7 linked regions of the Oryctolagus cuniculus genome follow. The protein of the gene in region 7 purifies or fractionates together with the protein of the main gene of each other region. This does not show direct contact. Links are inferred from orthologs where the notes say so. Each region holds a gene or a part of one and is shown on either strand. Other genes may lie near its edges. The genes, in order: PPP2R1B, MYO9A, IER2, MTCL1, IQGAP1, PABIR1 and PPP2R2B.

Region 1 (3,687 bases), on a different chromosome or scaffold from region 7:
GCTATGCCACAACACCAGCCTGCAGCAGCTCATTCTGTTCTTTGAAGGTGCTTTATTGAGGAATTTAAAATTCTAATATTTCACACAAATTAAATTATTGACATCCTTCCTCTGTAAGGTTGCTCTCTCTCTCTCTGCAACTGAATTATTACTTCTTTCCTGATTTTTGTTTTCCTTCCAGTTTGGGAGCACAGGAAGAGCCTTGTTTATTTTACTGCATCAGTAGCCTGTGGTGGGTTTTGCAAGCATTCTTTGAACAGTGAAATGGCAGCTCTGAAATGATTCTGTGCTTCATTACAGGAGTTTTCTGTCACTTGCTTTTGCATTTTAGAAAGTGTTGTTTAGTGGGTACTGATTGGTGATATGTTTTAAAACTCTTTGTTGCTTAATAAACTAACAGTAGTGTAAAAAATCCAGAGAATTATAAGGAAGAAAGGAGTGGTTGAGTAGACAGTGTTGAGCAGAGGGAGGAATTTAGACTGGGAATTTTTTTTTTTTAATGGGAGAAAGAACCAAGTATTAGAGTTAGCAATCAACCAAATCTTGAGAGAAGAGAGAGAGAGTAAAAGAGAGGAAGAGAAGACTAAACCAGGAGAGAAAACAGACAGAACTGGCATGGTTCGCATTCTTCTCACAGCAGAATTGAGAACAGCCTAGAACACAGTAGGCATCTGGCCAAGTAGAATCGAGTGCAGTTAAGGTCTTGGTCAAGGCTGAGCTGTGTCGTATGTGCTTGGTCTCTGGTTGCTCCACAGTGGGATCCCTTCTAAGGTACTGGCATGATGATGAGAAGAATCGCAAGCATATTAAAAACAGTAATTAGAGGAGAAGACATGGATGCTTTAGCCAGCTGCACCTTAGGGGAAGGAGGGGAAGAGGTTTGGGCCAGAGACAAAGACTGGGTGTGAAGGGAAAGAATGTATTATGAGTAAAGCAGCTGGCTTCAGCTTGCTCCTTAGAGGGTACTTTGGGCGTTGGTGATAGGTTGTGTCTCCACAGACCTCGGTCAGTTTAATTATTGGTAATAAATGTATAGTTTCTTCTGTGTGCTGTTTTGCTGTTCTCCTCGTCATTAACCAGAAGGATCTACAGCAGCCTGAGGACACTTGGGCACTCCCTGTCTGGAGGCCTGGGTAAGTTGCCTAGGGCAGAGCTGTGGCATGAATAACCATTCCTGTCCTTCCTTTCACCCAGGAGAGTTGAGCTCAGCTGGTGACAGAGTAGAATTAAGGAATCATTATCTGCCACTCTCAATTTGTTACGTAAGCCCAAATTTTAAGTCGCACTGAACTTGTAAAATGAAGTGACACTGCACCTGTCTTTGGAGCTGTATGCAGAAACTGGGTGAGGAGAGTAGCTTAGACGTTTGTCAGCTAATGTATAATGTTCTTGGTAAATGGTCTTGTAGGGAACTGTTAGATGTTAAGACAGGCACATTTACTCACACAAGGCGTTTGACGTTTTATCCCAACCTAAGTGTTTTTCATGGAAAACAAATGAGTGGGTCTGAGTTTTCATTTGCTGTGTATAGGCAACTTCAGAGGCCCCTGTATAGTCTCCTTCACCTTGACACTGTTGAAACGATCTTGATAAAATATCACATTGGTCATCTGGCCACTTATCAGGTCTTTGTTTTAGCTTTCAAAATGCTCTGTGGTCTGGGCACACTCTTAACTTTGCAGTCTCAAGAATTTTAGTTTTGCCTTTGTGCCTTTGTGCTTCTGTTTTGCCTTTTCCAGGAATTCTTCCTCACTTCTGTGTTTAAACAAATCCTCCCTGATCTTCAGAGTCTAGTTCAAAGTCTCTCCTGTGGCCGTCCCAGAGCTCTTTGTCTTTTAGCCCCCACGGCATTTACTACACAGTGTCAGACTTCATTACGGTTCGTCTTGCACCATGGCACTTCTTGAAGTGTGCTGTCTTTCATTTCTCTGATAAGAACATGTGGTCTTTCTATTTTTTTAGTACCACTTGGAACATCACAAGGACTTAATGAATTGATAATGCATGTAATGAGCTTCTTGTATCCCTTTTCCTTGAACATACTGTAAATTTTGAAGCAGTGACAGTAGATCAGTATTTTGTGAGTTGCAGCCGAGTATGCTTGTTGTGGTATGATTACATTTGGGGTCTGGTTGCAGAGAGCTTTTGTTTTGGGCCCACAGTTACTGATGTTGTAAGTAAACTCCATTCTGCTTTTCAAGTCAGCAGTGAGAATGTGTCCTTGATCTCTTCTGCAGTGTATGCCATCCGGGAAGCTGCCACCAACAACCTCATGAAACTAGTTCAGAAATTTGGCACAGAGTGGGCCCAAAATACCATCGTTCCCAAAGTATTAGTAATGGCAAATGATCCTAATTACTTGCATAGAATGACAACACTATTCTGCATTAATGTAAGTATTACCTAACTATTATTGCTGAGCTCACGTTAAAGTACTACTTCTCAACTATACTGCTGAATTCAGACATACCATCTTCTATTTGGAATACACTTCTTGTAGTCATTAATGTGGATGGTTAGAAGATGAGAAAATGTTGATTTTAAAATTCATATTAAATTTTATGGTATTTTGGAAGTTGCAGTTTAGTTGTAAATTCTAGTCTGATTCTTTGAATGCTCCCTTGTATTCCTCATTCATATGCTCAAGCTGGAAACGTATTCCTGTTGATGAGCTACTTTCTTACGAAATATGAATTTGTCTCTGTAGATCTTGGGAATTTAAAAAAAAATATGTTTTGAGACGGGCATTTGATACAGCAGTTGACACCACTTAGGATGTTCATATCCCATATCAGAGTGCTTGGGTTCAAGTTCTTGATCTGCTTCTGAGTCCAGCTTCCTGCTGTAGGCAGCAGTGATGGCTCAAGTACTTGGGTGTCTGCTCCCACATGGGAGACCTAGATTGAGTTCCAGATTCCTGGCTTTAGCCTGGCCCAGTCCCACTATTGTGGGCGTTTGGGGAGTTGAATCAGTAGATGGAAGATCCTTCTCTGTCTCTGCCTCTTTGCCTTGCAAATAAAGTGAAAATATAAGTAAATAAATAAAAGTTTTAAGTGTCCTCTCTTATTTATTTTTCTAGGCACTGTCTGAAGCCTGTGGTCAGGAAATAACTACTAAGCAAATGCTGCCCATTGTATTAAAAATGGCAGGAGACCAAGTAGCAAATGTCCGATTCAATGTGGCCAAATCTCTACAAAAAATTGGACCAATTCTAGATACTGCGTAAGATTTTCGTGTTGTTACTGTTTTGAAAGTATGTTTTAACTTTTCTCTTGTAGAAGGGAGTGATTGCTATAATTAAGTTCCATGAGTTTTGGGTTACAAGGTGTTGATTGGTTTAAAGAAAATAGTAGGCAACCATTTTTGAAGACGTTTACTTTGACATATTTAAGCTTTGTACATATGTAGACTAGTGTCTGAAGCTGATTTTTTTGAGAACCTCTTAGAAATTTAGTACATTTGTTAAGTTTTGTGTTTTAAATTTTTTATTTTAAATTTTAAAAATTTTCATGGAGTTTATACATCAAAAAGGATTTCTCTGGCCCACTGGACTGCCTCTCACAGGTACCTTTTGAATTTCAGTGCTTTGCAGGGGGAAGTTAAGCCAGTACTACAAAAGTTAGGTCAAGATGAAGACATGGATGTCAAGTACTTTGCACAGGAAGCTATAAGTGGTATGTATTTCAG
Region 2 (3,687 bases), on a different chromosome or scaffold from region 7:
AAAGAGCCACCAGCAGTGACGCAAGCAAGCTAGACGTGCCACCTCAGAGCTCTGAGACAACCAGCGCTTGCTGAAGGCCTCCCCTACTCAAAGGCACTCACGGCCCTTCATAAATGCTTGTTCAATAGCATGGGAAGGAATCAAACACTCTAGCATCTAGGCCTTGTCAACGATTCTTATGGTAAAATTGTAGCCGATTTCCAGTGGTGGGTAGAAACAATGAGGAGAAATGCCCAAGTTGAGGGGCATACACGCAGAAAGTGCAGCAGAGTCAGGCATCTTAATAAACTCTGCTGTTTCCATCCACACACGAAAGTAAACACACACTCCACTCACAGGGGCATATTCACACTGTCCTTCGGTGTAAAGAAAATGGCCCTGGTGGTTCCCTCTCTGGAAGGGTCATCAGACGTGTGGCCAGAAGACGGAGTCGGCCTAAGGTGCTCTCTTTTTGAAACGCGATTATTGGAGGGTTTACAGGCTATACTTTGTTGGGTGCCCATTCTGTCTGTCTGAGATGATTCCGTGACACCACCAGATTGGCACTGGGCTCCTTTTCTTTCAAAGAACAGAGTCATAGGTCTGTCCTTCGAGGCTAGGTGAGCAGAGCAACTGTCTTTTGGGGCAAGAGCTGTATCTTTTACAGTTACTGATGGGGATCCTCCTGCACCAGGTTCTCCCTTATTTGGGACATTTGGGATGAGTAGGGAGGACGGCCTCTCCGTTCTTTGCTTGGAAAGACAGAAAGACGGGGCCAGGAAGGACTCTCCAGTTCTTGGCTTCTCCAAGGTCTGGAAGGCTTTACGCTCCTTCTCTAGGATATTTGTCTGTTGGCGGATCTGCTCCATCATCTCTTTCTCATTCTGCTGCTGCAACTGCTTTTGCCTTTCTTCCTTCTCCGAGTTCAGCTTTTCTAACTTCTTAAGCACAGTACTGGCAGATTCTGTCTTCACAAAAGGAGTAATGTGCTCTTCTCCTGAGAAGCGATGCTTTTCAGCTTCCCTGCTGACGTCGAAAGGAAGAACTGTCCCCTGCGTGTCTTCACTTTTTAACACTTTGTTTCTTTGGGTGCTTGTGTCTACTTGGGAACTTGTTTTTAGTGGGTCTTGATGGGGAATATAAAAAAAAGTAGGCAGACTACTGGAAATAAACAGGTCTCTCGGCTGTGGCTTGCAGGTAACAGGTTCAGAGCGGCAGACCGGCTTCTCCTCCCCAGAGTCACCCTGCGAGGGCGCTGAGTCTACAGGCACTCCCTTGTGAAGAGACACACGGCTCAGCTCACTGGAGGTGCTGCGGGTGTAGTCCTGTGTGTCAGCTTTTGGACTGCTAGATACTGCAGGTGCTGGAATCTGCAGATCTCCTCCATCTACAATCACAGACTCTGGTTTGCCTTTCTGGGTTTCCTCACAGCTCAGAAGCTCCAAGCTTCCTTGAGAGCTTTCACTATCAGGTGTGCCCTGCAGAGAGGGCAGGCCTTCAGGCACCAACTCCGTAGACCACCTGCGCTCCTCGGAAGGAGACACACCTCCCAGAGAACGGACTTTCAGCAATTCCAGGCTAAATATAGCTTGCTCTAGTTCTCTCATTCTCCGACTCTCTCTTTTGGCCCGGCCTGCTTTCTTCTGATGCAGGTCCTCCAAGGACTTGGGCCGTTCTCTTACCACCACGTCTCCCTGCAAGTCCACACCACTCTGGCTTCTGGCTCTCTCCTGCCGCATGTTTGGGGACTCCCTGGAGCAGTCCACTGAGCCTTCACGGCGGGGGCGATTCCTCTCTACCACAGACTTACATTCCTCTACGGCTTTCACTCTGCTGTCAAAGGAGCAATCCTCCCAGCTGGAAGGGTCTGAGCCCTGAATTTCCAGAGCTCCATATGCCCTTGTGCTCACCAATCCAAGTTCTAGCTTTGCTTCTTTAAGTTTCTGCTCTTTTAACGCTTTGAATCTGTAGAAAAACAGAATGGGTCAGAAATGACTCTTTTTTTTATAACCTTCTTTTTTTTATTTATTTATTTATTTTTTTTTTTTGACAGGCAGAGTGGACAGTGAGAGAGAGAGACAGAGAGAAAGGTCTTCCTTTTGCCGTTGGTTCACCCTCCAATGGCCGCCGCGGCCAGCGCGATGCGGCCTGCGCACCGCGCTGATCCGATGGCAGGAGCCAGGAGCCAGGTGCTTTTCCTGGTCTCCCATGGGGTGCAGGGCCCAAGCACCTGGGCCATCCTCCACTGCACTCCCTGGCCACAGCAGAGAGCTGGCCTGGAAGAGGGGCAACCGGGACAGAATCCGGTGCCCCGACCGGGACTAGAACCCGGTGTGCTGGCGCTGCAAGGCGGAGGATTAGCCTAGTGAGCCGCGGCGCCGGCCTCAGAAATGACTCTTGGTTGATACCGGAAAGGATGTGCGTACTGAGAACTCAGGGAACATGGAAAGGTACAAAATCTTCTACTCACAACATCCAAGTATTTCTTAAACAAACTTGATCACACATTTTAAATTCTCTTATTTCCATTAATCAGATGATACTTTCATTAAGTGTCTTATTCCTAACTGGGCATTCTAGTCAAAACATAAACTCCAAAGTAAAATTCTCATTTTAATAATATCTTTAAAGTAAGCGTTAAATATGAATTTAAAGTTTTTGAAGATATAAATAGTGGATATTATAAAAAAACTTAAAAAAAAGATTAAGCCTAACACAAATATAGTAAGAATTGTTAACACTTAGCAATTATAACCATAGACCATGTAGGTCTTCAATCCAATTTAACACAACACTTAACTTCTATTGTAGACAAGATACAGCAGGTTAAAAACTGATAGGAATATCGTAGTATAGCAAAGGAAACACATTATACATAATCAATTGTAAAACAAATCTTGGCCAGCGCCGCGGCTCAATAGGCTAATCCTGCACCTCGCAGTGCCTGCACACTGGGTTCTAGTTCCAGTCGGGACACCGGATTCTGTTCCGGTTGCCCCTCTTCCAGGCCAGCTCTCTGCTGTGGCCCGGGAGTGCAGTGGAGGATGGCCCAGGTGCTTGGGCCCTGCACCCGAATGGGAGACCGGGAGAAGCACCTGGCTCCCAGCTTCAGATCAGTGCAGCGCGCCGGCCGCAGCAGCCATTGGAGAGTGAACCAACGGTAAAGGAAGACCTTTCTCTCTGTCTCTCTCTCTCTCTCACTGTCCACTCTGCCTGTCAAAAAAAAAAAAAAAAAATCTTAAGGCACAGATGAGGTTACCTCTGCCTTGCTCTGAATCCTCTACATGTTGACTGCAGGAGGATAATTTTGCTCCTCTGCTCTTGGTACTGCTTGCTTTGCCTGTAACCTCTCCACCTCGCCTGTATGCACACAGCGGCCCTGTGTCTGCGTCTCCGGTGCTCCCTCCACCACTGCTGGATGACCACGGCTGCAGCTCGCAGCTCTAAGTAGCGCTGCCGCTCCGAATGCGCACGCCAGGAAGCCTGCAGACGAGCAGCCGCACTGGCCAAAGCCGCAGCATCTTCCAGCAAAGCTTCACCCCGCGCCTGCTTCTGAGTGAGGCAACTCCTCCAGAAACGCTGTGGGCAAGACACAAGAACAGAAACTGGCCATCATTCCTTATCCTACACTTTCACAGGAAAAGGAAAAAGGATTACATTTTTTATGCCATGATTAGAGGTTATATGGCTAAGTAGCTAAATGGGTGA
Region 3 (4,242 bases), on a different chromosome or scaffold from region 7:
GCCCGAGGTCAGCCGCGGGAGGAGGCAAGGTCCCCCAAATCGTGCTTACGCCCCCCACTGGGAGAGCGGATTCAGGGGGCGCAGGACCAGCCTGCTCCCTCTCCCGCCCACGCTGTAACCACCGGTCAAACCGGCTCCTGGGGTCCCCCCACCCCGCCCCAGCCGGCCGCAGCCAGCGCGTGACCCCTTAACCCCGCCCCTCCCCCGCCGCGGCAGGAAACCAGACAGGCCAAACTTTTATACTTAAGTCTTTTTTGTCTTCTTTATTTTTCTGACGGTCCCTAACAAAACCGGCTAGGTGAGATTGGCTTTGAAACCACAACCCACCCATCCCCTCCCAAGGAAAAACTCCCGGGGCCACCACAGGAGCCCTCCCCTCCCCATCCCCGACCCCCACCCCCAAATCGGGCCAGCCATGGCCGCCAACCGGTCCCCCAGCTTCAGCCTGCCGTGGGCACGTATTGGGGGTGGGTATGGGGGGCACCGCCACCTGCACAAGACCAGAGAAACCACCTCTCTTCCCAGCCACCACCACCCCCGGGGGGGAGGGGCGCGCCGGGCGTGGGACACTGAACCAGCAGCGGGCGGCGTGGGCGAGGTGATCAGGCTGCCCTCCACCCACGGCGGGGCGGGTCCACACCCCGGACCCTCCCTCCCAGGCCCCGCACCCACGCACGCCAACAGGAAGCGGCCCCGTGACGCAACGCTGACCGCCTGCACAAGTATGTCCCTGGAGGGGGGGAGGAGTCTCCTGGGACTTTGCCACGGCACACGGCGGCTCTTGAAAAAAAAAAAAAACCACGGCAGGCCGGCGTTGAGCCCTCGGTGGGAAAAAACAAAAAACAACAAAATTAAGTCCGACCCTGAGGAAATGAACGGTCCAAGCCCACTCCCCCTGGCTCCCGGTCTGGGAGAGGGTTAAGGCCCGCGTCTCGGTCCATTTAGACAGCACCTGTGGTCCGCGGAAGGCGCCTGCGCCCACGGCTCCTCCGGGTTTGGAGAGGGGGGCGCGCATGGCCAGGGTCCCCCCTCCGGGATGCTCGGCATCTCCCGGCGAGCCGCGCCGCTCCTCTCCGCGCCGCCCCCTCGATGCAGGGCGTGCGCGCGCCTCCGTGTGTTGAGTGGTGGGGAGAGGCTCGTCCCCGCGTCCGCGCCCTCGGGCCGACGACGGTTCAGTTCGCGCGCGCGCGCGTTCTGGGCTCCGGCAAGCGCCCGCCGCCCGGGTGCTCAGAAGGCCACCACGGCGCGCACCAGCACGTTGAGCACACTGTCCTGCGGGCGGCAGGCCGGCTTGGCCTCGCGCGGCGCCGGCGCCGTCGGGGGGCTGGCGGGGCTGCAGTGCAGGAGGCCGGAGAAGCGCCTTTGGAGGACCTGGGCCAGGTTGGGGAAGGCGCCCTCGCTCTGCGCCGGGGCGGGCTGCAGGCGATCGGCGACCCTCGCCGCCGCCGCCGCCTCCTCGTCCGGGTCCGCCTCCATGCTCTCTTCCTCTTCCTCCAGGCGGGCCCTCTTGCTAGGGATCAGTCCCGGGTCCCCGCCGTCGCTCAGGCTGCAGCTGCTCCGTCGCTTGCGGCTCGCCTTGGCTGGGCGCAGGGCGCAGCGGGCAGGGGCCGCCGCCTCCTCCTCGGCTCCCGGCGCCTCCTGCGTGTCCATGGGCTCGGGCGAGGGCTGCTCACCGTCGGGGGGCGCTGCCTCGGTCGTGGCTTCTTCCGCTTCCCGCGGCGGGTGCAGGCGAGGGTCGGCGGGGCGGGCGGGCGGCAGGGGCGCGTCCGGCTCGTGCGCCTCCACCTTGGCCGAGAGGTAGAGCTCCCGGGCGCTGCGCATGACCAGCGACAGCTGTAGGCTCCGGTGCAGCCGCAGGCCGCCGCGCTGCATGCGGGAGTGGTACAACTTCCACACCGACAGGGTCATGATGCGCTGGGCTTCCTTCTGCACCTCCATCGCGGTTCGACGGCGGACGGGACGGGCGGCAGGTGCACTCGGGGCGGGGGGGTACGACGCGCTCGCTCACGCTTCTCCGCGCCGGGACACCGCTAGGACGCTCTGCCCCGGCGCCCGCCACCCGAGCCCTTTTATACCCCGGGTGACGTCACAGGGACGCCCCGCCCAGTAAGAAGGCCGCATCCGGGCTTTCCGCGGCCCCGTGGCCGGAGCCTCCTTAAAGCGACAGGGTGCAATTTACTCGCGGTGATGGAAAAAGGGGGACAGGAGGGGAACCCCGGCCTACGGTGGAGTCCCCCCCGCCCCGAGGGGACGCTGAGCTCTCCGAGTGCGGGCCCTGGGGAGGGGCGGCGCGGGTGGGGCTCCGGGCCCGCCCACGTGCTCGCGCCGTCTGCACCCAGGGCCCCTTAGCCCGGGAGGCTCGGGGCCGAGCCGGTCATTCCCTCCCGTCGCCCAGCCGTCTGAGCTTAGGGGCGCTGGCTGCGTGTTGGGTGCTAAGCTCTCTTCTTGCGCGGGATGGCGCTGCTGGGCTCCGGAGCTCGAACGCCCACCGGGCGGAGGGGGCGGGTGTGGGTGGTCGTCCGCAGACTCCGGAACGCAGCCCAGCCATCGCCCACAGGCTCACCGCTGCGATGCGACACCCCCCAGGTGGGCTGGGCCCCGGCCGCAAACGGGGCACGGGCCCCGGCGACGAACACGTGGCTGCCGCCCCCCGTCGGCGGCGGAGGAGAGGGGGCCCTGCTCTGCCTCTGCGCCCCGGGGGGGCGGAGCTGGAAACTGAGCCACGCGGAGAAAACATCGGCCCCACCCTCCGCCACGAGAAGACTCAATTCCCGTAGCTTAAAAAAAAAATAGAAAAAAAAAAGAACATTGTTCAAATGGTTGCATTCACTCGTGGTGCGGGCCCTTTAAGAGGCGCCCTCCACCCCCCTCCCCCGGCTTACGCAGCCTTCCCGCCACTGGGGCCCCGCTGACTTCCACAGCTAAATTTGGAAGAAGTGACGTAGGGCGAACGCGCCAGCCACTTCCGGCTGCCCATATAAGGACATGGGGCTGGGAGCACCACGGCGGGCGGGAGCGGGCTTCCGGGGGCGGAGCCTCGGCTCTGGGCACGCCCCCTCCTCCGCCCCCGCCCCACCCCCGTGCGCGCGGACTGCCGCGGCCGGCTGGAGCCTGGGGCTTCTGGGGGCGGGGCCTCGGCCCGGACACGCCCCCTCCGCGGCTGCCGCCCCGCCCCCGCGCGGCCGGCTGGAGCCTGGGGCTTCCGGACTCGGAGTCCGTCGGGGCCGGGCGTGTGGGGCGGGGGAAGAGGAAGGCGGCGTTTCCTTCCCTCGTGGGGGCCAGGAAGGAGCGACGCCCCTCCGGGCAAGCACCCCGCCCGCGCGGGCTCCCACTACGGAACCCCCCGACGGCGGCGACCCTGAAAGGACCCCCCAAATCACCTCATCCTTAACCGATCCCGCCCCTGCCCTACAGTCCAGAAGTCCCGTCTGCAGGCCGCACACAGCGGCGACTCTGCCCCACACCACGGGCGACCCCCGGAGGCATCCCGCACACCCTCCCGAGAGGGGAGACCCGGCCCCCCACCTCCGATTTCCCGGGGACCTTCACCGGGGTGCCTCCTCAGGGGTCCCCCTCAGGCTCGCGCGCCCAGGTGACACCACACCCGCCCCCCAGGGGTCTCCTCCCGCGGTCGCTCCGCCCCAATACGACCTCGGGGGTTCTCCCCCCACCCACCCACGCCCTGCAGGAAGAGCGCCGCTAAAATGCCCGCAGCCCTTCCCACACCTGCTGCTGGGGACCCTGGGCTGGGACGGACGCCCCGGGGCGGGCTCCGGGGATGGAACCCACTGACCCCCCACCCTTTCTCAGCTGGAATCCGACTATTATTATTTACACTGCCTCAAAAGCAAACAATTCACTTAGACTGCGAACCCCTCCCGCCCATTCAACGGCCCGGCACTGTGACTGAGAAGGCGGGACATGCGGACCGGAAGTGTGGCCTTTGCCCACACCCAAGATGGCGGCAGCGGGAACGGAAGTTTCCTCCTTTCGGACCTCTCTCTCCTCTGGAGGTCCCGCTCTCGATGGTGGCGAACCGGGGGCGGGGGTGGCGGCGCTTCCTCCTGGGCTGCGAGGCAACCAAGTGGCTCGCGAGCCCCAGCCCGGAGGGGCTGCGGCCTCCTGGGGGAGGGGGGCGGCCATGTCTCTCGAAGATCCATTCTTTGTAGTGCGAGGGTGAGTGACAGCGACGGGGCCGGGGAGGGCGATCGGTGCGCGCGCCGGCCGTCGGGGCTGGGGTCT
Region 4 (3,687 bases), on a different chromosome or scaffold from region 7:
CATTCCGACCAATCTAGGGTCCAATACACACCATCTCCCCAGCAGAGAGGACTTACCTGAGGGGCCCTGAGGGACGGGGGTGACACCACTTGTCAGCTGGGAACACTCAGCCAGCAGTGTCTGCCCATCCCAGAGCCTGGAAACAACCTGTTCACAAACACTGGGCTCTTCGGGCCACGTGCTGCCAGCATGTGTGTTGGGCTGAATCACGGGGAATCACCATTTCTGTAGGTCACCGGCACCTGCACTCAGCTCGCCATTTCGGATTTCACCTCTGTATTCTTAGGTAAGCACTCCTCGGTGGGTCAGTCTGGCCCTCTAACTGTGCTGGCATTTCTCCCCCTGGGAAATGCAGGCCCTGTGATGTGGGGCACACACCCTCTTCCTCTCCTTGCCCTGGGGCCAGGGCAGCCCAGGTGGTGGCAGCCCAGAAAAGAATCTGCTCCCCTCCTCTTCCCCGACCCTGGGGAGAGGACCAGCCTGCAGAATGCTCACTGGGCGAGGCGTTCACACCTGCTCAGGGCTGCACGAAGTGAGAAGCCGGCCTCCCCATGGCCATCAGCACCAGCAGGATCACAGGGCTTATTTCATTTGCTCATTCTAGGCCTGGAAATGGGAGCTGCTGGCTCAAGCGGCAAGGTGCAAAGTACACCCCGGGGGATGTGTCCTAGAACAGAACTCCAGGCTGACTGATGGGTGAGCAATGTCAGGGCGGCAGTGCCACCTCCTCCTGTACAGAGGCAAGGTTCAGGGTTTACACATTTGTTTCACTTGGGTTTGCTGCCCCGGGGGATTCACACACACAGAGAGGGGAAGCCGCTCCTGAGAGTCCAGACTGCTGCTTTGCACGGAGGCCAGCTGGGACATCGACCTTGTGTTTGCAGTCCCTGACGAGCACGTGACAAGCACGTGTCCCCGTGGTCCTCACCCCCCTGGCCCCCTCCCATGTAGCACACTTGGACGTGCCGTGACATGCATCCACACACAGAAAGGGCAAATCATGACCCAGAACGCAGACCCTGGGGGTGCAGATACAGATCCATCACCGAGCCCAGAGGCCAGAACCCTTTCTGCCTATGCTATCTTCCCCAAAACCCAACTCAGCCCCCGCTCACCACAGCCACTTAGAGACAAAAACGCTTCTTCCTGCAACCAACGGCCTGGCCAGGTGCCCTCTCACCCACCCCTAAATGGAAGAGCTGGAGGGAGAGGGTGCCATTACCTCCATGGGCCCTGGCTCGGCTGTGGCCGCATCTGCCGTGTGGTTGTCACTGAGACTCGGGGGACCGTGGGTGGCCTGCCTCGCCTCCTCCCTTAAGGCGTGCTCCATCAGCTTCCTGTTGAGAATCCGGGCCACGTTCTCGGCGAGCGTGTAGCCAGGGGGAGCGGCTAGGTCCTGCCTCACCGGCGTGCCCTCTCCCCCTTCCTCCCTGGACGTCTCAGCGCCTACACCAATGGGGCTGGGCGACCTTCCCCGGGAACTGGTGCCCGTCTCCTGGCCTGGGCCCAGCTCGGGGCGGGGTTCTGCCGAGCGGGACCGACTCCCAGCCCGCGCCCCCTTCTGGAAGGGGTCCTGCACCACAGGGCTGTGGTCGATGATGTTGAAGAGGCTGGAGAGGCCGTCGTTGATGGTGGTGTGCACGGGGCTCTCCCTCGTAGTGGTGGAGCGTGCCCAGGCCGACTCGCTGTACCCCTTCTGGGCCACACCCGGTGAGGTCCTGCTATTTGGCTGGTCCACTTTGGGGAGGGGCTTCCGCTGCAGCTTGGGAGACCCGTACTTGGGGGAGCAGCACGTGCGTTCAAACTTGGCCTGCACCTTCTCGATGGCGGGGGCCACCTGCCTGCTCCTAAGGCTGCGGGAAGGAGACGACACGGGTGTGGTGCCGCCCCCCGCCTTTGGTGTGAGACACTTGTGGGGGCTGCTGGTGACGCCACCACTGCCCCGGAGGGCTTCCGTCTGCAGGCCCACGCTGATGGTCTGCACGGTCTGCGTGCCCGTGGTCCGGGACCCGTTGGTCTGGCAGGCCATGTCCTTAACTTGTGGCTCGGGCGGGCTGGAGCAGATGGCGCTCCTGACGGAGAAAGCCACCTCCTTCATGTCATCACTCATGTTCTTGGACATCTCTAGGCTGTGCAAGGGGGAGGCAAAGCCCAGGGGGGTACACAGGGGGCTCTCGAGGGGGCGCAGGGTCCCCTCCATGTAGTCTCGGGGGTGTTTGCAGGGGGCACAAGGCCACCTTCCAAGCATGGGTTCCAGGGGTCCCCCCTTGGCGTCGCCCAGGCTCGCTCTGGCCCTGCTGGTGGGAAAGGGCCCCTCGGGGTCCAGCCGGCCCCTGCCCTCGCTGCCCCCCTGCACGATGCCATCCATCCTGCGGACGGCGGGCGGGCTGTGCAGCACACGCACACCGGACTGCTCGGTGAGGACGTGGCTGCGCAGCGGCTGCTTCTGGCAGTGCTCTGGGCTGGTCATGGTGTCCGTGGTCATGGTGACGCTCGTGGTCAGGTACCAGGAGGAGTCCGAGAAGGGCTCCGCGCTGGCTTCGCACCCTGCCCGCCCCACCTCGGTCCTGTCTGCCCAGAGGTCCGCAGGCCTCTCGGCCCCAGCCCCGCTGGGGGACCTGGGGGACGTGTAGTCCCAGCTCTTGGTGTTGAACTCCTCGATGTACTTCAGGTCGTCAGGGGACAGGGGCGGGGTGACGTCTTCCTTGCTGCTGGCAGACGGCAGGCCCTTCTCAGGCAGGAAGGGGGACACGTCCATCAGGCGCTGGAACTCCGACATGGAGGACACAGACACCGCCCTGGAGAGGCAGAGAGAGGAGGTCATCACGCGCCCTGAACGCCGCAGCCCTGTGCCCTGCCCTGCCTTGCCCGGGTAGTGGGGACGGAGCCTCCCCTAAGCCACTGGAACACTCTGCAGCTGCTTCAGACTCCCTGCTTACGAGCTGGCCCTGTGGGTGTTTATTGGACGTCTGTGGCTGTGGGACTGTTGCTGGAGCCTTGCTCTGATCAGAACCAAATAGTGGCCGGTGCCACGGCTCAATAGGCTAATCCTCTGCCTTGTGGCGCCGGCACACCGGGTTCTAGTCCCGGTCGGGGCACTGGATTCTGTCCTGGTTGCCCCTCTTCCAGTCCAGATCTCTGCTGTGGCCCAGGAGTGCAGTGGAGGGTGGCCCAAATCTTTGGGCCCTGCACCCGCATGGGAGACCAGGGGAAGCACCTGGCTCCTGGCTTCGGATCAGCGCAATGTGCCGGTCACAGCACGCCGGCCACTGCGGCCATTGGAGGGTGAACCAACGGCAAAAAGGAAGACCTTTCTCTCTGTCTCTCTCTCTCTCACTATCCACTCTGCCTGTCAAAAAAAAAAAAAAAAAAAAAAAAAAAAAAAAAAAAAAAAAACCAAATAGTGCCAACCCTCAAATACTGCAAACAAGCGGGAGGGTGGGGCCATCCAGCAGTCAATGCAGCTCAACTCCCAGCTGTGGCTTGGCATGGCCCTCGCCGGTGGGCACCTCCAGTGCCAACCCTCCTGCAAGGTGTCACGGCAGGTGCTCATGCTGCAGAGTACCCCCAGGCCCTGCCCACCACATGCTCATGGCCCCCCGGGAGAGAGAGACCCAGTGATGTAGCTGCGGTCCCACCACACAGCCTTGTCCTCCACTGGCTTGAAGCCCTGTCAACCTCCAAAGG
Region 5 (3,687 bases), on a different chromosome or scaffold from region 7:
GGACACCAACTTCTAGGTCTCTGTGTTTTTTTTTTTTTTTTTTGACAGGCAGAGTGGACAGTGAGAGAGAGAGACAGAAAGGTCTTCCTTTGCCGTTGGTTCATTCTCCAATGGCCACCGCGGCCGGCGCACCGCGCTGATCCGATGGCAGGAGCCAGGAGCCAGGTGCTTTTCCTGGTCTCCCATGTGGGTGCAGGGCCCAAGCACCTGGGCCATCCTCCACTGCACTCCCTGGCCACAGCAGAGAGCTGGCCTGGAAGAGGGGCAACCGGGACAGAATCCGGCGCCTGGACCGGGACTAGAACCCAGTGTGCCGGCGCCGCTAGGCGGAGGATTAGCCTAGTGAGCCGCGGCGCCGGCCTAGGTCTCTGTCTTAAAACCAAGTCTTAACTACAGTAAATACATGGAGCTATCAACCGCGATTTTATTTCCAATAAAAACTCAGAAAACAATCTAAAAGTCAAATTGCAGGAAGGAAAAGTGACAATCTAACAGATTATTATGCTGCCATTAAAAACATTATTTGGGGGCAAGCATTCAGCCTAGTGGTTGAGACACTCACTGGGCCCCACGCATCCCACAGCAGAGTGCATGGATTCCGTGCCCTGGTAATGGAGATCTTGGTAGGCAGTGGTGATGGCTAAAGTCATTGGGTTTATCCTATCACATGAGCCCTGGATGGACTTCAGCCCCAGGCAAGAACTCTAAAATAAATTTAAAAATTTAAAATAACATTTATGGGGCGTGGTTAAGACACCCACATTCCACACTGGGTTGCCTGGGTCTGATGTTTGGCTCTGACTCCTGACTCCAGCTTCCCAACACAAACCCTGGGAGGCAGTGGTGGTGACTGGGTTTCTACCACCATATGGAACACCCAGATTGAGTTCTTGGCTCCTGGCTTCGGCCCTGGTTGTTGTGGGCTTTTGGGGGAGTGAATCAGCAAATGAGAGTACTCTCCCTGGCTCTATCAAATAAAAAAAATTTAAATAAAAAATTATTAGATTTATGACTATATATAAGAGTTGCATCCTATAATATGAAGTAAAAACAGTTTACTGGGGCTGGCGCTGTGGCGTAAGAGGTAAAGCCACTCCCTGCAGGGCCGGCATCCTGTATGGGCGGTGGTTCGAGTCCTGGCTGCTCCACTTCCAATCCAGCTCTCTGCTATGGCCTGGGAAAGCAGTGGAAGATGGCCCAAGTCCTTGGGCCCCTGCCCTCCTGTGGGAGACCTGGAGGAGGCTCCTGGCTCCTGGGTTCAAATCGACCCAGCTCTGGCCTTGGTAGCCGTGTAGGGAGTGAACCAGTGGATGGAAGACCTCTCTCTCTCTCTCTCTCTCTCTCTCTCTCTGCCTTGGCCTCTGCCTCTATAACTCTGCCTTTCAGGGGCCAAGACTGTGGTGCGGCAGGTTAACACCCTGGACTGAAGCGCCAACAGATGTATGAGTGGTGGTTCGGGTCCTGGCTGCTCCACTTCTAATCCAGCTCCCTGCTATGGCCTGGGAAAGCAGTGGAAGAGGGCCCAAGTCCTTGGGAGACCAGGAGGAGGCTCCTGGCTCCTGACTTCGGATCGGCCCACCTCTGGCCGTTGAGGCCAATTGGGGAATGAACCAGTGGATGGAAGATCTCTCTCTCTCTGCCTCTCCTCTCTCTGTGTAACTCTGCCTTTCAAATAAATAAATGAATCTTAAAAAAAAATACACACACACAAGATGCTTGTCAGATGCTGGAGTTAGGGGAGAATTCTCATCTTCTTTTCTCTGCCTAAAATTTTATAAAATTGTTTTATTTCTTCTATAAATAAAAAAAATAATTTATGGCATGAGCTGAGAAGCAAGTGAGCCTCAGCCTCCCTGTGGCAGCTCCGGGCCCCCGCGCCGGGCCGTACCTGCAGCGTGATTTTGTTCTTCACCAGCAGCCCGATTTTGATGTCCATGAGGTTGAGGTCGTTCTCCAGCTGCTGGTTGGAGCGAATGAGGGTGATCACCTCCTCTCGCAGCTTCATGAGGTCGAGCTCCTCCTGGAAATCCTGGTCGCTCTGGTCCAGCAAGTGCACGAACTTCCGGACCACGATCATGGGAGGGTCCTCGGCGTTGACTGACAGAAAGAAAACACGCATCAGACAAAGAACAGAGTTGCCAGAAAAACTTCTAAGTCTCAGGAAACACGAGGGCACTTCAAAAAGTTCATGGAAAATGAGATGCAGAGATGAATTTATTTTGGTGAAAAAAGTTTTGAAATCTATGAGTTTTTTTCGTACTACACATTTCCATGAACTTTCTCAAGATCCTCATATCAGAACTGTCTTGAAAAAAGTAGCTCTCTTCACACCCAAGGTTCTGTTCTCTTCTGAGATGTGCTAAGACAGCCATCAAGGACGGCCTTCTTGGTCATGCTGTCAACACAGCTAGCAACCAGACATCAGCCAGGCGTCAGCAAAGGGGCTTCACTCACAAGCAGCACCCTACCTAGGCCTTGCCTTCAGGACAACAAGAGATCCACCGAGAATACCCACAACCTGGTGGTGTTCAACCACACCTCAGCTCCTCGCTGCTGAGCCAGTTACTCACTGAGAGTCTTGTAGTCGTCACGAGCTTTGTTTGCCCGGATGAAAGCCTGGATTTTGATGATGTCATCGATCTACAGGACAAAAACAGAGAAATTCCTTTGCTCATCTGCCCATCAGAAATACAGCCAAACTGACAGCCCCAGGTGGGTACGTACATGGTCTCGGAAATACTGGAGGCGATCTCTATAGCGCTTTCTGGCTTGGTGCATCCTTGCCAGGGACTGGATCTGCAGAAAGAGAACCTAGGAGTCAGCAGGGCCCTGCACGCTGCACGTCACCCTTGCTCCCCACACCGGGAAGCCTGCTCGGTGGCCGTACCTTCACAACTTCATCTCTGTGGGAGCGCAGGTAGGCCAGCCGGTCCTGGTACGCCTTCTTCTGCTTGTATCCCCTCCACTGTGACTGCAACCGTCAGACATTTCCCAAAGATCAGCCAAAGTCAGAACAAAACCTCATCCAGGCTCTCGTGTTAGCCCAGCGCAAATTCACGATGGAGCTTTACCCAGGACCATGCCCAGCAGGGCCGGGGGAACAAGGGCAGGGGCTGTCCCTCTACTGGAACACAAGGGCTGACTCTCACTCCCCTGTCCTCAGCACCACCATGCACCATTCCAGGCAAGCCAAGAGCAGATCCCTGTTGCACAGAGAGGAAACAGAGTCCCCACTCTGGGGGCACCGCAGCCCTAATCCCCAACTCAGCATTCGTGCCATGACAGTGCACTAACAAACCTCTCGCTGTCTCTGAGGGTTCAAATCTTACACAAGGGCACAGTCGTGGAAGACAGGAAGAGGAGCCCGAGGACCAAGCTCCAGAAAGCACAGTCTGATGGCAGCGTTAGTAAAGCAGCAGGTACTCGTCAGAAGACCAGACAATGAGGTCAGAAGTCAAAAAGAAGAAAAAACCACACTCGGACACTCCAAGGTGAGAGACGCCAGTTTATTCAGCCTGCTCTAGAAGCCCCCCTGCTGCCTGTGTGACGGGCTCTGAGATACCTGAATGCAGGTGATGGCAGGGATTTGTTTCTTCAGGAAGTTCATCCTGGACTGGAATTCTTGTCGCACCAGGTACCCGCGGCAGCAGGCCTGCAGCTTGGTGATCAGGCCCTCGTTGGCCAGCC
Region 6 (4,433 bases), on a different chromosome or scaffold from region 7:
AGGGAAAAGGGCAAGTCAGAGAGTCTACCTTAACTTCTAGTTTGGATGATCTGAAATTAGATAGCTACAGCATCACTTTAGGTAAGGCAGAAATAGGTAAGTGAGAAGATGACAAAAAAAAAAAAAGTTTTGTTTTGAAGATGCTGAAGTTAAAGTCCATCTGGAAGCAGGTCAAGGCACCCAATAGGACACTGGATATACTGATACAGGCTTGAATTTGAGGAGCATGGACACTGTTACCCACAACAGAATTTTAAACTGTAGACACAATCTTACCCTTAATATAATTCACTGAACCTTGAAGCAACTGCCAAGAGTTGACCAGTTCCATTTATTCTCACAGTAGTAAAAATTCCACATAGTTGTTAAAGTCTTCGGAGGCAGTAACTTTAAAACGTTAAGTTGGGGCTTTCGCCTTGATCTACGGAATCTCCTGCTGCACTCTTTTTGTCTGTGTATCTTTATCTATCTATCTAGTTAATATATGAGGTATTAAAGGAAGTACAATATAAAAAAATTGTGATTCGTATTTTCATTGTAAAAGGTAAAACCAAAATGAAACAAAAAACACCCATCATTCCATAATTCTATCTTTAACAAAACCTAAGTTAAACAATGATTTATCTGTGACACTCCACTGATCTTCTCTCACAAATCATCGACTCTTGGTTAACTGACATCTCCAAGACAGTTGACTCCAGCCCCAGCTTTAACCACTGAGTTCAACAATTCACAGTTCCGTTTGTTGCTGTCAGAAACCTGATTCACACCGTACCTTTGCCTATCCCATGGTGCCCCAGTTTGGTGGAAGGCTGGGAGGAAGGACCTGTTGACAAGGAAACAGCCACTCTTCCCAACCAAGGGGAAACCAGGGATGGGACAGCTACACAGGGTACACAAGCAGCAAAAAACCTGCTCCGCCTACTCACTGGCAAGAGTTTTCAACCGGAGGCACAATGGGTATTTCAAAGCACATCAACGAATTGACGGAGGGCTGTCTGCCTGGAGGCTCTGAATTTCAACCAGACTTTCCACACGTTTTCTACATTTGAAAAAGAACTCAGCCTCAGCCTATTCTACAGCAGGATACAACTGCAAGGCACCGTCCCATTTTACTTTAGGATTACACCCAAGAGAATGTACTTTCTGGTTAAAAAAAAAAATTCTGAATACTAGCTATATTTGCACAACCTACCAGAATTACTATTAAAATGTCACTAGAAAACATTTTTCTTCAATGTTTTACTTGGATATAATTTTAAGACTTGTTGCAAACTTTTCTGAGGTGTTCTTTTATCAGTCCTCCTCCCATCCATTTCTGTATCCAGGAAAACCCACTAAGGATTCCTGGGTAAAAGAGACAACCACTGCATTCATTTTAAAACTAACATTTTTTTAAAAGCTGTAAATAGGTAAGTTATCGTTCTTTATCAAATGGAAATTAGCAATCACTGAAAAATAACATTAAAATTAGTGTGTGCATGAATTATGGAATTTTTAAAACATCAGTTTACTATGCTGATTAGTTCAACATTTATATTTTCATCAGAACTTAATAATCCCATAAATAAATAGAGCTCTCAATTATTTAAAAAAATCAAGGGATAACATATGTATTTAGACATATTAGCAGCGTAAAGATGTATGCTTCAACACACTTAGGGGAAAAAGTCCAAAAATATTACTACACTGAATTCAAGGGCATCCGCAGGAACCTGACATGAGAGGTCTCTAGAATAACAACATTTCAGGAAATCCCAAAAGAGGAAAAGGGTCAAATAGGAAATAGCCTCAAATTAATCGACAGAGTTCAGTGCTTGCTCCAACTTGATTTCTCTCTCTCCTCTCTCTCCATTGCAAAAAAAAGCCCACAAAGTCTCAGGACGAGCGGATCACTTAGATGCAAGCTCATCTACAGGGATGAACGGCGAGGCTGCCTGGGCAGGTGACACGGGAGAGTCGGCGGCAGTGCTGGCTTTCGCTGGTGAGTTGCAGGAAGATCCCGCACTGCTGCTGTTTCCGTCAAGGGTATCCGAAGACACACACACCCCGGGATCTGACAGCTGTGCAACGTCGGAAGAAAGCATGTTGGTGATGCCCTGGAAAAATCTCTTTGGCTGATACTCAGTTTCCATTTCACATTTTCTTTTCAATGGTCCAAGAACACTTGGTCTAATGCAGTTGATGGGACTCTGGCTTCTCCGAGTAGTAAATCGGGTCGTTGGGCTGGGGATAGGGCTCGGGGGCAATCCGTTGCTACTCACAAAACTTTGCAAGGATGGTGAGAAACACTGCTTCCCAATCCCCCGGGTGGGTGACGGTGCTGGGGACACCGGAATGAAATCGATGCGCTTCGGGGAGGCGGATTTCTCCACGTCGTTGTCACTCAGGCTGAAACTTTCCTCCCAGGAGTGGCTGATCTGCATTGCGGTCTGCACCTCGCGCTCGTGGACCGTCTCTCGGTTGATCAAGTCCATGCCCTCCTCCTGTTTGATTTGGTGCAAGCGGCTGCTGTGCATGCGGACGGGGGAGGCCGGCAGCAGCAGGCCGTGGCGGCTCGGGAACGTCGTGCTGTTCCGCCTGGCGCTCGGCGCCTCGGCCTGGAACACCGGCGAAGTGTCACTGAGGCCGTGGATCAGGGGGGCGCTGTTAGACCTCCTAAGGCCCCCGCCGCCGCCACTGCCGCCGCCCTCCGCCGGGCTCCCGCCCGTACCCGGAGGCAGCTCTAGGTCCAGCTCCATCTTCTCCTGAGCCATGTCGGGGGCAGGGAGGCGGGGGCGGTGCTCAGTCAGGGACCTAGGACTCCCATTCCCCGCAGTCCAGGGCCGCCGCCGCCGCCGCTGCCACCCAGAATCTGTCAGCGGGCCCTCCCGTGTGCGCATGCGTGCCCCTTCGCGCAGGCGCTCTGCGCTATCTGTCTCCGCGGCGCCTGCTAAGTGCGTAATCGCTGCGCCACAGGCGCCGGGGGGAGGGGCGGCGAATGGTTGGGCGCTGGAGTGTACGTTCCTTCCGCGAAGAGCTAATTGGGCGCGAGCTCCTATTAGCGCATATTGATAGGTTTACGTTCAGGAATGCCTACTTAATGAAACGAACATAAGCTCTCAAAGGGCCTTAGTGATGTGGGGTTTTATGGCGGGCAGTGGGGCTTGACCGAATCAGGGAGGGCTTTCCCCAGGAAGAGGCCATCTCCCGAAACGCGAAGTAGAACGCTAAGTGGTATGGTGTAGAACCTTCTAGGAAGCGGGCAGCAGGGGCTACGCAGCCAGCTGCCAGGCAGGAACCAGGAGGGGAAGGGAGGGGGCGTGTGGCCCGCAGTGAAGACTGACTGGGAGCTGGACAGGCTACGGTGTGTCTCTTGAGAACAGTAACATCTCCAAAGGTTTTCAAACGTGGGGTTAACAACAACTGACAAGCTCGCTGGCTGCAGTCTGGAGAAAAGATTAGTGGGAGATTAGAACCATCCGGAGAAAGACCAGAGAGGATGGTAATTTGCAGTTAATATAAAACATTTATGTCTCAATTAAATGTATTCAGTCAGTCATTCAAAGTTTCTTCCTGGGTAGCTACTACATGCCAAGCACTGTGCAAGAAATGGGCCTTTTCAGAGAACATTTCATTTCCACGGGGGTCAAGGGTGGGGGGGTGGGTAAATAAATAGCTGTTTGCAGATAGAGGTAAGCCTTAGGAAAAAACAAAAACGGGATCACGTGTTAAAGCCCAGCTGCTGGGAGGCAAGGGGCAATGAAAGCTGAGATGTAAGGGACGAGGAGGAGAAGTGGTGCAGACGTCTGTGCGTGAGTAGTCCAAGCAGAGAGAACAGCAAGAGCTGAGGCCCATGGCAGCCGTGATCGGTTAGCAGGAAAAGAAAAAAGGGCAGTGCCACTGAAGCATAAGGGAGGGGGGTGAAGGGGAGTGTAAACGAGTCTGGGTTTCCTTCTCAGTCTGATGAAAGTCCGCTAGGGAATTGTACATAGGGAAGTCATACTGTCAGGTTGGTATTTGTAACAGCATTGAAAGAAGGCAAGAGTGGAGGCAGAAAGGTGGGTTAGGAACCAATGGCAAAGGCACAGACAAGAGATTATTGGACTAATAAGCAGTGGCCATGGAGAGAAGATGGATTCAGGAGGTTTTGGAAGCAGTAGCAGTAAGATTTGCGGAGAGATTAAATTTAGATGGTGAAAGAAGTATGTCAAGAACTGACTTCATTTTTTTTTACTTAAATTAGGTAGATAGTGTTACTTTCTGAATCAGAGAAGCAACATATTTAGAGGTATAGAAATTACTAATTCTGTGTTGATTGTTGTATTTGATTTGGAGGTGGCTATTAGATAGCCACATGGATACGTGAACTTAAAGACAGTTAAGTCATTTTTTGTCCAGTCCCTTTTTGTTGTTGAAGCAAGATCCAGAGAGGATAAGCACCAAGTTGTTGA
Region 7 (3,687 bases):
ACAGAATGGCTACCATGTACTGAGGGCACGCTTTGTATGTGCCAGGCACTCTTCCAGGCATCTTGCAAAGGTGGTTTCTACATGTTTACCAGCCCACAAGGTAGGAAGGAAATGGAGGCTAAGACAGACTGAAATATATATAGCTTGGCTGACTGGTATCTCCCCAAACATCAAACAGGATAAGTTCACGTACCATTAGTAGACAGAAGAAAGTAAGCTGCATTCTGTTGGGGGAGCCATCTTATTTTATTGATTTTTTCTTCTATTTCTAAACTCTTCAGGTAATCGAACTCGGGTTCATGGCTCTGGAATGTGCTGTAAACATTGTATTCACCCCTGCGGTGAACCTGGTTTTTACTCTGCAGGAAGGGAAAAAAAAATATATATATATAGAAGATTAAATTATGGAAGTCAACTTCAAAATCACCGATTCCCTTTTTTCTTTCTTTCTTCATTTTTGGGCAGAGTCACTGTGATGAGAACCAGGATGAGGACAGCCCCATGTTTTATCTTACTTCAATGGCTTCTCAAGCTATTTAAAAATTTTTATTTATGTTAAGAGAGAGAGAGAGCGCGCACGAGCGTGTGCGCACTCATTCCTATCAGTTGCTTTATAACCTCAGTGTCCTACAACCTAGGCTGGGCTCTGGCTGAAGCTGGGAACTCAGTTGAGGTCTCCCCTGTGGGAGGGCAGGAGCCCAAAAACTTGGAGCTATCGCTGCTGGCTCCCAGGGCTCGCATTAGAGCCGGGAATCACACACAGGAACTCCAATATGGCATGTGCATGCTTCAGCTGCTAGTCTAAACACTCATTCTTCCAAAGTTTTTGATCATGCTCCCCATTAGCAAATATTTAGACCTTCAATATGCATATATTTATTTGTAACCTATATGCATGAACTTCAGCACTTATATATGGTGTATATCATAACACAAGCACAGATACAGAAGTTAAAATAGGACAAGATTTTAAAATCAGTTTAAGTAGCAGCTTCAATATTTATATTTTGTACTCTGAAGTATGCCTTGGATATGAGGTAAGCCACCTCACACTGGTGTCCCTGTGCAAGGGGCCTTCAAGAAGTAATTGGGAACATGGAATGAAAGGAGAAGTTTATCCTGGTGCAGAAAGTTTGGAGAAGCATTTTTTCCCCCACAGTACACCTTTTCCATGAATTTTTTGAAGACCCTTTGTATACTGGTAGCAATCTCTTACAAACAGTACAAAATTGCAGCTTCAGCAATTTTCACTGGCTTTTTAAAATCTCACAGAATCTGAAAAGCAGGCAGGGCGGGGACATGGACAAAAGAGGGTCAGAAATAGTAAGCTGTTTCTTTAAGGTCACAGAGCTCACAAGGATCCAGTCTGGGCATCCGACTCTCTCTCTCTTCCTCCCTAACACAAGGGACAAAACTGGCACTCAGAGATGCCAGCTGTATCACGATGCAGCCGATGAGACTTTTCCTCTGGCTTTCCCCTAGCAACGATTAAAGAGCAAACAGCAGGAACTAAATAAATGATGAGAAAACGAAACACAAGGGCAAGAAAGGAACAAGGGAAAGAGGACGGGAGAGGAGAGAGAGAGAGAAAGACAAGAAGGGGAGGGGGGGAGGTGTTTCAGTCCCTGGAGGACCGTCCTGCCCAGAGAGTCAAGACTCAGGCGTTAGAAACCTGGACAACAGTTCAAACCTGGCTCTCAGTAAACAACAGCCACAGAAGCTTGACTCGGAGTAAACCTGCTCCATTTAAAATTTTGTATTGCCGGGTGGATAGAGGACATCCAAGCCCACATCTTAACTGACTCATGGGGGAGGGTGCTGCCCTCGGCGTGAAACACTTCCGAGTGGGCACTGAGGTTCCTACAAACAAGCTCTCCATGACTAGGCATCCTAGAACCAGAACCAAGTCTGCCCCATATGACGTCACCTGGCTTGGTTTCTCATGTTTAGCTCTCATTTTAATCCCTAGCTTGACACAATAGCATACACTTAACTGCAAATTCTTTTTCCTCAATGGCATTTATTTTTTCTTGAGCTAAACCACCCTGCTTTGGAAAACATGTCCCTTGTCATTCCACTAATGAATCAGGCTTCCTAAATATTTCAGGAGATTAAAATAGGAGACCCCTAAGAAGAGCTACCGGAAACTGCAGACCAGGTCACATGTGGCCATAGGTAGGTCATGCTAAGTAGCTCCTCCAGTTCTACCCTCTTATCACAGTGAATCCAACTGGAGCTTTTTAAAAAAAATGTAGAGAAGTTCTGAAATTCATTTTCAGAGGACTTTAACTGCTGACACACTTGCTTACTTGCAGAGAGAGCCAGTCCACCTTAACAATAAATTTATACGAGTGTTGATCTGCTACCTTCCAAATCAGACTGTCAAGTGTGTGTAGCATGTGCCAGACCAATTAGCACAAGGCAGCTCTGGAAGAGCAGGAAAAATTCCAGGTCACGAAGAGCTAGGAGTTGCTGCTTGCCAACCACATTTTCGCATTTCCAGGGCCGATGCAATAGGCTGGGTGCCTGATTTAATGCTCAACACTTGAATTTATACAGAACCCCAAGGGATTATGATGCCCTTATAGAAATTAATTGCAAATAATGTGCAATTACCAAATATATCACCTCTAAATGAGGCTTCCCTTTTTTGAGGGGAGGTGTAATGCAAATGGCTTTGAGGCACAAAGCAGGCATTAAATTGCCAAGGCAGTCTCCTGTGAAGCCTTCCTCGCGCTTCCCGGGGGCTGGGTGAATCTCAGAGGCAGGCAGTGGCAGATGGGAGAGGACTAGGGACACAGACTCGCCTGCTGGAAGCTCCACCACCATGCCAGGGGAGGCCAAGGAAATCAAATTGGGCCATAATTTCATTCTGACAAAGCAGAAGCATGCACACATACACACACACACACACACCCCACAATCTCAATTTATATGAAAAAGAGAAATAATTCCTAGTGGATTCCAAGTCTTGGAAACAAATGGGCTTCTGGAAACTCGCTGGAAGTCAGCGCTTCTGCTCCCAAACAGAGGTGCCCATAGAGCTCAGCTCGGGGCACCTTCGTGTCACCTATGCCAGGGGCGGTGCCAGCCATGTGCCATGTTCAGATGTCACTTCAGGACATTGCATTCCCTTTATGGGAACTGCACTCCATTTTCTTCTCTGCTGACCGCACTTGTCCTGTTCCCATCCGTTGGCAAATACAACTCCTTTTTACCTTCAACTTATTCTGGCAGCCACCCAAAATCGAGGGAGACTGACTGTCGCATGCTCAAGGAGACTGTCACCCCAAAAGGAGGCGTCACGATGCTCAACAAGCACCCATGGAAGTTTGCAGATCAGACAAGCGGTGGAGTCATCACGGGGGTCTGATATCCAGGCCTCGAGCCTTGGAAGGCCATGCCCATAGCAGGCTGTCTTTGAAGGGGCCTCTGTGAGTCTGTATGTGCAACTGTTGATATTAATGATTTTTTGGCAGTTTTTAGTTTGTGAGCAAAGCAGCAAGGTTAAGGGCGACACATGAGGATTAGAGAACAGTAGGAGGCTTCCTTGAAAAAGAGAAGCAAACAGGCATTTTGCATTCACTGCCACTTACCTCCTGCTCTCGTTGAAATATTACAACCCGACCCCCCTTGTCCCCTGTCGCTAGTAATTCTCCCGTGTGGTTGAATTCTACCGTAGAGATA

What was found.
Region 1: the proteins of PPP2R2B (region 7) and PPP2R1B purify together in Homo sapiens (affinity purification with mass spectrometry; 4 studies listed by BioGRID and IntAct, with this or other methods). This does not show direct contact. The link is inferred for Oryctolagus cuniculus from reciprocal best matches to the Homo sapiens genes PPP2R2B and PPP2R1B.
Region 2: the proteins of PPP2R2B (region 7) and MYO9A purify together in Homo sapiens (affinity purification with mass spectrometry; 4 studies listed by BioGRID and IntAct, with this or other methods). This does not show direct contact. The link is inferred for Oryctolagus cuniculus from reciprocal best matches to the Homo sapiens genes PPP2R2B and MYO9A.
Region 3: the proteins of PPP2R2B (region 7) and IER2 purify together in Homo sapiens (affinity purification with mass spectrometry; 3 studies listed by BioGRID and IntAct, with this or other methods). This does not show direct contact. The link is inferred for Oryctolagus cuniculus from reciprocal best matches to the Homo sapiens genes PPP2R2B and IER2.
Region 4: the proteins of PPP2R2B (region 7) and MTCL1 purify together in Homo sapiens (affinity purification with mass spectrometry; 4 studies listed by BioGRID and IntAct, with this or other methods). This does not show direct contact. The link is inferred for Oryctolagus cuniculus from reciprocal best matches to the Homo sapiens genes PPP2R2B and MTCL1.
Region 5: the proteins of PPP2R2B (region 7) and IQGAP1 purify together in Homo sapiens (co-immunoprecipitation; 3 studies listed by BioGRID and IntAct, with this or other methods). This does not show direct contact. The link is inferred for Oryctolagus cuniculus from reciprocal best matches to the Homo sapiens genes PPP2R2B and IQGAP1.
Region 6: the proteins of PPP2R2B (region 7) and PABIR1 purify together in Homo sapiens (affinity purification with mass spectrometry; 4 studies listed by BioGRID and IntAct, with this or other methods). This does not show direct contact. The link is inferred for Oryctolagus cuniculus from reciprocal best matches to the Homo sapiens genes PPP2R2B and PABIR1.

Annotation. Positions count from the first base shown.
Region 1 is NC_091432.1:103,700,769-103,704,455, reverse strand, and holds part of PPP2R1B (serine/threonine-protein phosphatase 2A 65 kDa regulatory subunit A beta isoform), read left to right. Parts: intron 1-2,237; coding exon 2,238-2,392; intron 2,393-3,079; coding exon 3,080-3,222; intron 3,223-3,582; coding exon 3,583-3,674; intron 3,675-3,687. UniProt on the Homo sapiens protein: The PR65 subunit of protein phosphatase 2A serves as a scaffolding molecule to coordinate the assembly of the catalytic subunit and a variable regulatory B subunit.
Region 2 is NC_091443.1:111,163,128-111,166,814, reverse strand, and holds part of MYO9A (unconventional myosin-IXa), read right to left. Parts: intron 3,559-3,687; coding exon 3,239-3,558; intron 1,945-3,238; coding exon 337-1,944; intron 1-336. UniProt on the Homo sapiens protein: Myosins are actin-based motor molecules with ATPase activity. Unconventional myosins serve in intracellular movements. Regulates Rho by stimulating it's GTPase activity in neurons.
Region 3 is NC_091447.1:62,549,145-62,553,386, reverse strand, and holds IER2 (immediate early response gene 2 protein), read right to left. Parts: upstream 2,802-4,242; 5' UTR 1,939-2,801; coding exon 1,228-1,938; 3' UTR 236-1,227; downstream 1-235. Other genes in the region: STX10 (syntaxin-10), read left to right, coding at 3,922-4,176. UniProt on the Homo sapiens protein: DNA-binding protein that seems to act as a transcription factor. Involved in the regulation of neuronal differentiation, acts upon JNK-signaling pathway activation and plays a role in neurite outgrowth in hippocampal cells.
Region 4 is NC_091441.1:65,956,574-65,960,260, reverse strand, and holds part of MTCL1 (microtubule cross-linking factor 1), read right to left. Parts: intron 2,799-3,687; coding exon 1,223-2,798; intron 1-1,222. UniProt on the Homo sapiens protein: Microtubule-associated factor involved in the late phase of epithelial polarization and microtubule dynamics regulation.
Region 5 is NC_091443.1:100,738,844-100,742,530, forward strand, and holds part of IQGAP1 (ras GTPase-activating-like protein IQGAP1), read right to left. Parts: coding exon 3,563-3,687; intron 2,972-3,562; coding exon 2,888-2,971; intron 2,797-2,887; coding exon 2,725-2,796; intron 2,641-2,724; coding exon 2,571-2,640; intron 2,098-2,570; coding exon 1,889-2,097; intron 1-1,888. UniProt on the Homo sapiens protein: Plays a crucial role in regulating the dynamics and assembly of the actin cytoskeleton.
Region 6 is NC_091432.1:161,632,696-161,637,128, forward strand, and holds PABIR1 (PPP2R1A-PPP2R2A-interacting phosphatase regulator 1), read right to left. Parts: upstream 2,905-4,433; 5' UTR 2,883-2,904; coding exon 1,893-2,882; 3' UTR 312-1,892; downstream 1-311. UniProt on the Homo sapiens protein: Acts as an inhibitor of serine/threonine-protein phosphatase 2A (PP2A) activity. Inhibits PP2A activity by blocking the substrate binding site on PPP2R2A and the active site of PPP2CA.
Region 7 is NC_091437.1:34,207,460-34,211,146, forward strand, and holds part of PPP2R2B (serine/threonine-protein phosphatase 2A 55 kDa regulatory subunit B beta isoform), read right to left. Parts: coding exon 3,597-3,687; intron 360-3,596; coding exon 194-359; intron 1-193. UniProt on the Homo sapiens protein: The B regulatory subunit might modulate substrate selectivity and catalytic activity, and might also direct the localization of the catalytic enzyme to a particular subcellular compartment.